Saccharomyces cerevisiae S288C: one gene and its partner. Changing the gene in region 1 together with any one later gene gives a genetic interaction. Each region holds a gene or a part of one and is shown in the gene's direction. Other genes may lie near its edges.

Region 1 (6,462 bases):
GTCTTCGTCATCATCCAAGTCTAGTGGGGGAACTTCGTCATTTGTGCTGGCAATCGGTTCGTTAAACAGAGTATCATCGTCGATATCGTATTCTATAACTCCGATTTTCTTCAGGTCCTTCACCAGCGCGTCAAATTTGTCGTAGAACTTCGCTTCTGTCCTCTTATAAAAATCATCTACTTTCTGTTTTTCAGCTGTTAAATCACCAACAAACGTATCATAAGTGTCTAATTGCAGATTTTCGTTGGCCGTGGAGGAGACGGACGATGCGGAAGACGACCTTCTTTTGTAAAATATCTTTTCCTTCATTCTTCTGAAAGGAGAAGGTTTGGCAGCGACCGTCTGAGCAGTAGGCAACTCTCGCAACTCGATGGTTTCCTCAACGATGCCTGCATCTTTGTTCATACCGGAAGACGTATCTTCCTTCGCATTTTTAAAAGAAAACTTGTTTTTGAACCTATCTGTAATGTTAGAGCTCTTTCCTGCGCCAAATCCTTCTTCGTTATCACCAACCTGAAGTTCATCTGTTTGTAGCGTGTAAATAAGATTTTTCAGCTCGCTGTAGTCCATATAATGGTTTTGCCATTCTGGGACAGCATTGTACTTCAAGAAGTGTGAAAATCTCATGATCCTGTACCAGCTACCACTTACTCGTTTATCCTAAAAACAACTTTATTGGCCGGATGACATCGAAGTGAACAGTGTTCTTTATATCGATGAATCAAAATTTTTCAGTGAGCCATTCATTCTTCGAGAAGCAGCGCAAAAAAAAACAAAAAAAAAAAAAACGGCTGTAGCTGCGGCGATATTGTGAGCGCCCCGCTTTAGGGCGACTTTACCCATAGTAAAAAGGGAAGACAATAACGAAATAAGAAGAGAAGAGAACCGTGGTTTCTCTGTTGCTTAGGATCATATACGCCTACAGCAAGGCACCTCTTTATGCGTATGCAGTCATACAAGGAGTGTGGAAATGCAGCACAGATGGCCTTCGCTGCTTGCCAGGCTGCCATTTTTCTTGGCTGCTGCCGCTACTACTGATTTTCTTACCTCTGCTAGAAACCAGTGGAAATGATTTATTCACAATCTAGCACCATGCAACATACATCCAAATCAGTGGAAATACGACATTATTAGCCGGCCCTTTACGTGCCAAAGGTAATAACAGTGAACGGGAGATGGGAAGCTTAATGCTGTTACCCGCTATCGGTTGTTGCTATGTAAACCAAATATAAATGCAAGCCAAAAAAAAAGGGTAACATAAGGTTAAGTAGGAGAAGGGAGATATTGAATGTATAAGGTGTCAGCATGTGGGGTGAGGATAATGAGTGGCATATCAGAAATTTGGATTGGCGAACTTAGAGATTACAAGTACGCTTTACGTCTTGATAGAGAAGAGTATCCAGCGGTGCTTGTTTACGAGTATGACTCGTCTTCTACTAGGAACTATCTTTTTACCATAAAGTACAGCGATCAGAGGCCGAACTGGCAGCTCATTACTCGTGACGCAGCTTTAACAGCTTACGACTTACTTAACAGAGGTGGCGAGTTCACAACTCTCAGCTTTCCGGGAGCCACTATTCACCGTTCAGTCAGTGAGCTGTCCCGATTGCATTAACAATATATAAGGGAGCAGAGCGAAACAATATGAGGTTCAGTAACATTTAAGGGTCGCTATTGAGTGTTTTGTGAGATATAAGTGAGTTTTGAGATAATTGTTGGGATTCCGTTGTTGATAGAGGCTACAATATTATGTATACAGAATATACTAGAAGTTCCCCTCGAGGATATAAGAATTCTCAAATGGAATCTATACATACTAATAATACGACTATTCCTCATTCCGTTTTCATATGTTTCGTTCCTATTACACTATCAATCCTTGCATTTTCAGCTTCCATTACATTTGATGACTGATTCTCAATCTTTATGTTATCTTTTTACACCACATGTGATAGTATACTACTAAACAGTATGCGGTAGCTATACTCTTTAATGAATGGGCGAAGCCTCCCTAGTATTTTATCTTGACATATCTAAAGGATTGCACAATATTGCGATTTGTTCTCCACAATGAAACCTTCTCAATAATTGTCCGATCATCCACCCATTTCTTAAGATGATAGACGATTCTTAGTCCAATAACATTGTATCCTTTACGTTCCGTAGAATATCATGTTGTTGATCCTCTTCTCAGCACAGTGCTTATTACTCTCACATCAACATCAAAAAAATTGCTTCATGATTAAAATGTTTGTGGAATATAACCGTTAAAATAGGTCAGGCAAATATAAAATAGAAGCTTCTATGGCCAAGTTGGTAAGGCGCCACACTAGTAATGTGGAGATCATCGGTTCAAATCCGATTGGAAGCATATATTTGATTTTTTAGCAATTAATTTTTTTTTTTTTTTTTTTTTCACGCTCTTGAGTCATCGCGAGTAAAATTCCACTGGAAAATTTTTTCAATATATACAAAGTTCCACAATATCATACAGCTCTCACATCGTAGATTATGTCAATAGATGGTATGGCATCAAACATGTATATAAACTAAAATATTTTCATCTTTTCGTATTATTCGATTTGCGCACTTGCAAAAATAAGAATTTTCGACTTTCTTTAAACATAAAACTCTAAGAGCAATAAGCAAGAGATTCGATGCTATCTTCAGCTAATAGGTTTTATATAAAGAGGCATTTGGCAACACATGCCAATATGTTCCCCTCTGTATCTAAAAATTTTCAAACAAAAGTGCCACCTTATGCAAAACTTTTGACCAACCTAGACAAGATTAAACAAATAACAAACAATGCTCCATTGACACTAGCAGAAAAAATTTTATACTCGCATCTTTGCGATCCTGAAGAATCGATTACTTCTTCTGATCTGTCCACCATCCGTGGTAATAAATACTTGAAGCTAAACCCAGACCGTGTAGCTATGCAGGACGCTTCTGCCCAAATGGCGCTTCTACAATTCATGACCACCGGTCTAAATCAAACATCTGTCCCAGCATCCATACATTGTGATCATTTAATTGTAGGTAAGGACGGTGAAACTAAAGATTTACCCTCTTCCATAGCTACCAACCAAGAAGTTTTCGATTTCTTGGAGAGTTGCGCAAAGAGATATGGAATTCAATTCTGGGGCCCAGGTTCTGGTATCATTCACCAGATTGTTTTGGAAAATTTCTCAGCTCCAGGTCTAATGATGCTAGGTACTGATTCCCATACACCAAATGCAGGCGGTCTGGGAGCTATTGCCATCGGGGTTGGTGGTGCGGATGCAGTTGATGCCCTCACAGGCACTCCATGGGAATTAAAAGCACCAAAAATTTTAGGTGTTAAATTGACCGGAAAGTTAAACGGATGGTCCACTCCTAAAGATGTAATCACAAAGCTCGCTGGTTTACTAACTGTCAGAGGTGGTACTGGTTATATCGTCGAGTACTTCGGCGAAGGTGTATCCACTCTATCTTGCACAGGTATGGCAACCATCTGTAATATGGGAGCTGAAATCGGTGCTACAACGTCAACTTTCCCTTACCAAGAAGCTCACAAGCGTTATTTGCAAGCAACTAATAGAGCAGAGGTCGCTGAAGCAGCTGATGTTGCTTTAAACAAGTTTAACTTCTTAAGAGCCGACAAAGATGCTCAATACGATAAAGTTATTGAAATTGACTTATCCGCAATTGAACCTCACGTTAATGGTCCATTTACACCAGACCTTTCAACCCCAATATCTCAATATGCCGAAAAAAGTTTGAAGGAAAACTGGCCCCAAAAAGTTAGCGCTGGTTTGATTGGATCATGTACCAATTCATCTTATCAAGACATGAGTCGTGTTGTCGACTTGGTCAAGCAAGCTTCCAAAGCCGGCTTGAAACCACGTATCCCCTTCTTTGTCACCCCTGGTTCAGAACAAATTAGAGCTACCTTGGAAAGAGATGGAATCATCGATATTTTCCAAGAAAATGGTGCCAAAGTTTTAGCAAATGCATGCGGCCCTTGTATCGGACAATGGAATAGGGAAGATGTCTCGAAAACATCAAAAGAAACGAACACTATTTTTACATCATTCAATAGAAATTTCAGAGCTAGAAACGATGGTAATAGGAATACAATGAATTTCTTAACATCCCCAGAAATAGTAACAGCGATGAGTTATTCTGGAGATGCTCAGTTCAATCCGCTAACTGACTCAATTAAATTGCCAAATGGGAAGGATTTCAAATTCCAACCACCAAAGGGTGATGAGTTACCAAAAAGAGGATTTGAACACGGTAGAGACAAATTTTATCCTGAAATGGATCCAAAGCCAGATAGCAATGTAGAGATTAAGGTAGACCCTAATTCTGATCGTTTGCAATTATTAGAGCCATTCAAACCTTGGAACGGGAAGGAATTGAAGACAAACGTGCTTTTGAAAGTTGAAGGTAAATGTACAACAGATCATATTTCCGCTGCGGGCGTCTGGTTGAAATATAAAGGCCATCTAGAAAACATTTCTTACAATACATTGATTGGTGCACAAAACAAAGAAACCGGTGAAGTCAACAAGGCTTATGACCTTGACGGAACTGAATATGATATTCCTGGTTTGATGATGAAATGGAAATCAGACGGTAGACCATGGACCGTGATAGCGGAACATAACTATGGTGAAGGTTCCGCAAGAGAGCATGCTGCTTTGTCACCAAGATTTTTAGGCGGAGAGATTCTTTTAGTTAAGTCTTTTGCAAGAATTCATGAGACAAACTTGAAGAAACAAGGTGTGTTGCCATTGACTTTTGCCAACGAATCTGACTATGATAAAATATCAAGCGGAGATGTTTTAGAAACGTTGAACCTAGTTGACATGATTGCTAAGGATGGTAATAACGGTGGTGAAATTGATGTTAAAATTACTAAACCAAACGGTGAATCGTTCACCATCAAGGCAAAACATACTATGTCTAAAGATCAAATCGATTTTTTCAAAGCTGGTTCAGCAATCAATTATATTGGTAATATACGAAGAAACGAATAAATTCTGAAGAGATATTAGCTAAAAATTAAGAGTCCGATTTAATAGTCATAAGCTAGTTTACACAATTCTATAGACTCTGCATATAGACGGTGCAAATAACCTACCTATTTATTTATTTATTTACTATAAAAAACGTAATATTGTTTGATATATAATATTATACACGAGATCTCGACTGCTTCAACTACGGCTTAACTCAAGGGTGGGGGGTATTTTGTTGTCGTATATGCAATATGTATGTGTTAAAAAGATACAATTATGTAAGTTACCACCTTTGTTTCATTTCATTCATTACTTGTAAACCTTGTAAACGTTCTTCGTACAATGCAGCTAGCCTGCTAACCTTGTTGCTTGCTTTAATATCTGAATATCCCTTTTGAGAGAATTTATCTGCTGTCTTTGAAGTAGTTTCATTTTTCTTCTTCTTTTCTTGTAGTTCTTTGTCGAACTTCTTAATCTTCGCGTTTTGGACGAGGGTTAAACTTTCAAACTGTTGTACGAATATATCTGTTTCCACAGAATTTTTATCCTTTGCTGGCTCGTCCTTAACCATTTCTTTGATATTATCTGATATCGTTAAATCGGTGCTGCTGTTACTCAATGGAAGCGAGTCTGCTGATGGAGTCTTCGTCGGTGAGGATAATGTATCTGTAGAAGAAGAAGCTAATGCCAAATCTGTATTAGAATTGGAAGTTAGAGACAGTTGTGGTCGTGTAACTGCCTTAATAGGAAGTGGAGGTTTGGCATTGAATGATGGGGATGAAACATTTCTGCTTGAAGACTTAGGTTTCAAGACTGGTGTATTTTGTAATGCGACAGGTGTGTACGTTGGAGACGTAACAGATCTTTGTGGACTAGGGCTTCGACTTCTAGGAAGGGTTAAGCAGCCTAGTTCACTGTATCTGGTTGGCGACGACTTCCTTGGCTTAGGCAAAACAGGGATAGTAGAAGACGATGATACGGATGAAGGAGGTGATGATATTTCCTTCGCGATTTCGGGGAAAAAGTCCAGTAAATTTTTAATATATCTCGACCCAATAGCTAAACGATCATTAGTCATCATGGAAAGTTTTTCCTTACATAACGCCGGAGTTAAAGCTTTACTTAGGGTCCTTGAATCATGTTTAGTCGATTCACCATGCGCTATGATCCTATTAAAAAAAGGAATTATGACCATAAAGAGGTCCTGGTATTGGTTGAATTTAATAATTTTGCGGAATGTTTCACTTGTGAACTTTAGATCATCAACAATTGGTAACGGAATTAATTCAATTGGGATTAGAGGTTTGGCTTTATTCTTAATGAAGTAATTCAACCACACGGATGCCAAAGAATAAATATCCCATTGAGATAAATCAATGTAGTTGTTTCTTTTGATAATATCCAAAAAAATGTTTACCTTTTTATAGTTTCCCGGCTTCTGGAATATCAATTC
Region 2 (5,018 bases), on another chromosome or scaffold:
TGCTTTGATAATAACAATATTCGAGGGAAAATACTGCCCATGCTACTTCAGTGTGATGGCAAAGCGTTTTCTCATCTAGGAGAGCAACGGTTTGATCCCCGTGAAAAGCCTGGGCCCAGTACATCTTGTAAGATCTTACACAATATTAAGTTATATAGACATCGTTTACTACATTCAAGGTCTTGTGAATAGTTACTGCGGATAGGTTAATAGAGGAAGATATAGTGCAAAATTTCAAGTAGCGGAAGATAATCAAATGCTGAAGGAAATTTACAGGTTTGCCTCAATAATAATCTTGACTCTGCCGGAAAAATTTACCAGAGGGTTCAAAGGTATGAGTTGTACGACCCGGTTCAACAGTAGTTGCTTGAAGAGTAAGCTGAGCCTATAATATCCCATCTTTTCCGTTCTTCTCATAATAAATAAAAGATAGGATCGTGAGATGTGTCAGCTGCTGAGGAGTGTAACTAGCGCTAATGGGAGAACATAGAAGAGAGTACCGTGATGGCACAGAAGGCGGGTAGGCGACCACGGACCATTTCGGTCCAGATTTCTCAACTCGTACTTCCTGTGATACGTTCTTGCCCTGAACTAGTCAATTTTCTCTTGTGCAGCAGGCTTCGACATAGTTTTATGATAAGAAAAGTAAGATATAAAGGTCCGCTAGAATAAATAACCATAAATTTTTTATTTTGAGTTATATCAATATAAATAATAGCGTAAAAGAATGCATTTTACGCAAGAAATAAGAATTCCTTGGCAAATGACTTGATGAGATCGTATATCATTGGTTTATGTGGGATTTCCACTCATGTAATACTTCAATCAAGACTTGATTAACCTTCGTCAATTCCTCTGTCGTGATCACATATGGTGGCATAATGTAACACAGGCAGTTGAAAGGTCGGATATGTACTCCCTTGGATATAAACTTTTTCTGGAACCACTCGGGATCTGTCTTCTTGTATAGCTCTACGATACCTACAGCTCCAATAACTGACACACGCTTAACAACAGTTCCAATGAGCCCATTATCTGGGTTCTTGATGTACTGGTATAGTTCTCTATAAATTTGGTTTTCAATTGCAGACACTTGTTTTCTCCACTCGCCACGCAGTAGTATATCCATAGACTTTTCTGCCACACTGCATGCCAGGGCATTGCCCATGAAGGTGGGGCCATGCATGAAGCAGCCACCAGTAGGGCTATTTGGAGAAGAGATTCTGGAAGCAACTTTGTCGTTGACTACCACTGCACTCATAGTCATATATCCACTGGTTAAGCCCTTCCCAACGCACAATATGTCAGGAACAACTTTGATCTGATCGGAAGGACTGATGCCATGTTGGTCCTGGTATTTTTGACAGTGCTTGAATGCGAAAATCTCACCTGTTCTACCAAATCCTGTAGCAATCTCGTCCATGATGAATAAAACGTCGTATTGGTTACATAGTTTCTGAACTTCGATTAAGAACTGTGGATGGTATGGTCGCAAACCTCCTGCACCCTGTAAGATAGGCTCCAAAATCACAGCACAGATCTTATCACTATGCAATTCAAATTGCTTCTTGAGATCGGTAACTTCTTCTGCATTCCAATGGTCCTCGAAACCGTTCTGGCTGGTTGGAAGGCCATCGACAATAGAGGGAGCTTGGGCGAAGATGTTCTCACTGAGTCGATCGTTGTAGATATGATGCATAGAATTCTCAGGATCACAAACACTCATAGCGCCAAATGTATCACCATGATACCCGTTCTTGATTGTCAAAAACTTTGTTCTATTTTTAGTAGCTTCCCCTGACATGTTTGATTGTAAAGCCATCTTCAAAGCTACTTCCACTGCTACTGAGCCAGAATCTGCGAGGAAACAGTACTGCAAAGAGGGTTCATCAATCACTTTTAAAAGTTTTTGGACTAGATTCACAGCTCCTTTATGGGTGAATCCACCAAGAAGGACGTGAGAAAACTTTAACATCTGCTTGGTAAGGGCCTCATTTAGTTCTGGATTATTGTACCCGTGAATAACACACCACCACGACGACATGGCGTCGATCACCTCGACGTCCACTGGTGAGTCGGTATCCAACACCAGCTTGCATCCGTGAGCACTCTTTACCGGATAAACGTTCAATGGTGAACTCAATGACGTATAAGGATGCCAAATATGTTTTTTATCAAAGTCTAGCAGTTCCGCGACATCTGGTGTATATGAAATTTCTTGGGACATTAGTTGTTATCCTAGCAATAGAAAACGAATTGCGCTGTTGACATCCTCCCGACCAAAAGAAAATGAAATATACAAACAATGGCTATTTATAATTCAAAATTATTGGGCAAAACAAAATAAAATCCCGCTGGTAGTTCGTTTACTGAAGTATATAAAGAGATATACTTTTTTCCACAAGTAGGCCAGTGAAAAGAACTCAAAAAATCACTAGCGCACAGGTCATGAACAGCAAATCTCAACAACAAGAACAACAACCAATTGTATTCGTCACCGGTACAGACACTGATGTTGGTAAAACCTTTGTATCAACATTATTGGTACACAAATGGAAAGCTGCATACTGGAAACCCGTACAAACTGGAATTGAGTCAGATCAAGGTGACTCCGAGACATTGAAAAATTTCAAAATAGCCGCATCAACTTGGCAACCACCTATATTCACGCCCACTTATGCGCTGCAGAAGCCTCTATCTCCGCTCCAGGCCATGGAGTACGAACCTAATGTCGACATCAGGTTGTTGGATTTCGTAGTTCCTGAAGAGTGGAGCGCAGAGAATCCATTGGTCGTAGAAGGAGCCGGCGGGGTTTGCGTTCCTATCACTCGTAAATTGGAAATTACGACGGATCTAATTAAACATCTGATTGAGACTAGCGGCCATCCAGTGTACGTAGTTGTCGTGGCACGCAGCGGGCTAGGGACTCTGAATCATACATTGCTGACTTGGAATCATCTTTGCGATAATGGCTTGAGAAGCCACCTTTTTGGGGTCATTCTCAATGGGGAACCGAATGAAGGCAACGTGCAGGCCCTGAAGAAGTTCGGTGTCAATATTATGGCACAGGTTGCACAATGTACTACGGCACATGATCAGGATATGGAGTTGCATGAACTGCCATCGGTGGAGTCATTAATGACCCAACAAGACGTAGAATAGTTTAAATAAAAAAGTTGCAAGGCTTTCATCAGCTATATATAAGTAGCATGGTATGAACAGAGTAGGGGCAGTGTTCCTATTTGTATATGAAAGAAATTTTTTTTTGTCTATTGTTCCAGATCGTCACAGGACGGAAATAAGAATGTCTAGTTCAGAAAGGTCAGAAGTCAAGTTTGACAAGCACTTTAATTGGTGGTCCCTATTAGGTATCGCGTTCTCATTAAGTTGCTCATGGGTCGGTATCTCAGCGTCGATGGCCGTTGGTATTGCCAGTGGAGGGCCACTGCTTATCATCTATGGGTTGATAATTGCTGCTTTTTTCAGTCTCATGTGTGGTATATCTCTGGGAGATTTTGCTGCTATCCTGCCAAACAGCAGCGGTGGTTCATTTTGGGTTCTTAAAATGTTGGAACAAGAATCAGTCACTTTGAAAACCCCTGAGTACGAGGACCCTTCTGACGATGATGAAGAAGTGTTCCTCGAGAATTATTGTCAAACTTTCAACGTGGAAGTTTCTTCTAAATTTCAAAAGGTTTCTTCCATGGTTGTAGGGTTGCTGAACTATTTCGGTGCCATTTTTACTACCGCAAGTATCTGCTCATCTTTGTCAATGAGCTGTATCGGTATTCATAAGTTGTTGCATCCGGACTACGAGTTAAAGCACTGGCATGTTTTTGTGGGTTACGAGTGTATCAATGCCGTTTTGACACTTTTCAACATTTATTCAACTCCGTTGCCCTATATCTCTCAGTTTGGGCTCTATACGTCTCTATTGTCTTTCGCCATGACTTTCATTATTTGTATTGTTTCAAGATCTGACAACACCGTAGACCCATGGCCCAAAGCTTCTAATATATTTGGGAGCTTTGATAATCAAACAGGCTGGAATTCGTCTGGAATGGCGTTTGTTGTCGGTTTGGTCAATCCGATCTGGGCATTTGTTGGCATTGACTCTGCTACGCACATGATTGATGAAGTGGGTTATAGTAAGTCACGTTTCTTAGTTCCCAAAGTTATTATCACTACCATCATTGTGGGCTTTGTAACTAGTTTTATTTATTGCGTTGGTTTGTTTTTCTGCATCACTGACCAAACGGCAGTCGTTGAGTCTATTTTACCTATCGTAGAAATATTTTACCAGGCCACTGGTAATAGGAATCTCAGTGTCTTCCTGCAATGTATGTGTATCACAACAGGTTTTGTTTCAGGCATTGCAAGTGGAACCTGGCAAAGTCGAATCCTCCAATCATTCGGGAAAAGTTACGCACCATTTTATAAAGAGGGTTCCTTGGGAAACAAATCCTTGAAGAAGCTAGCAGTGTTGACACCTGGGTTTAAGTCTCCATTATATGCCCATTTTTTGTCACAAATATGTGTAACGATAATTGGCTGTATATTTATGGGATCTAGTACCGCTTTCAACGCAATTATCACTGCATGCATCACCCTGTTACTAATGTCGTACGCAGTTCCTTCTTTTATATTCCTGTTCGTTATTAAAAAGGAAAAATTCATTCATAGAATCGAGAGTGACGTAAATTGTGTCAGCAGGCCTAACCGTCGTCGTATGTCTATGATTCCTCATATTATATGTATTCTATGGACCTTGTTCTGCCTGGTATTTTTATCTTTCCCATATACACTACCGGTTACTGCAGGAAACATGAATTACACCTCAGTAGTGTATGCAGTAGTTTTCTGCATTATCAGCATCGTTGTTTTCCCTACATGCATCTAAGATGCTGTTGAAAGAAAAACAGTCCTTATAAATTCCTAGGTCGATACTACCTTTTGTAGCTCTATCGTCAGAACTTCTGCCCTCCTGTATCATAGTTTCATAAAATAATTGTATATTT

What was found. Genes that interact genetically often act in the same process or in processes that back each other up.
Region 2: mutations in ACO2 (region 1) and BIO4 together harm fitness less than expected from each alone (positive genetic interaction), as found in Saccharomyces cerevisiae (one large-scale study listed by BioGRID).

The regions. Positions count from the first base shown.
Region 1 is NC_001142.9:55,009-61,470, reverse strand, and holds ACO2 (aconitate hydratase ACO2), read left to right. Parts: upstream 1-2,657; coding exon 2,658-5,027; downstream 5,028-6,462. Other genes in the region: PHO90 (SPX domain-containing inorganic phosphate transporter), read right to left, coding at 1-627; MBB1 (Mbb1p), read left to right, coding at 1,289-1,615; ECM25 (Ecm25p), read right to left, coding at 5,293-6,462. UniProt on the Saccharomyces cerevisiae protein: Catalyzes the reversible dehydration of (R)-homocitrate to cis-homoaconitate, a step in the alpha-aminoadipate pathway for lysine biosynthesis.
Region 2 is NC_001146.8:731,500-736,517, reverse strand, and holds BIO4 (dethiobiotin synthase), read left to right. Parts: upstream 1-2,448; coding exon 2,449-3,162; downstream 3,163-5,018. Other genes in the region: BIO3 (adenosylmethionine-8-amino-7-oxononanoate transaminase), read right to left, coding at 785-2,227; BIO5 (Bio5p), read left to right, coding at 3,215-4,900.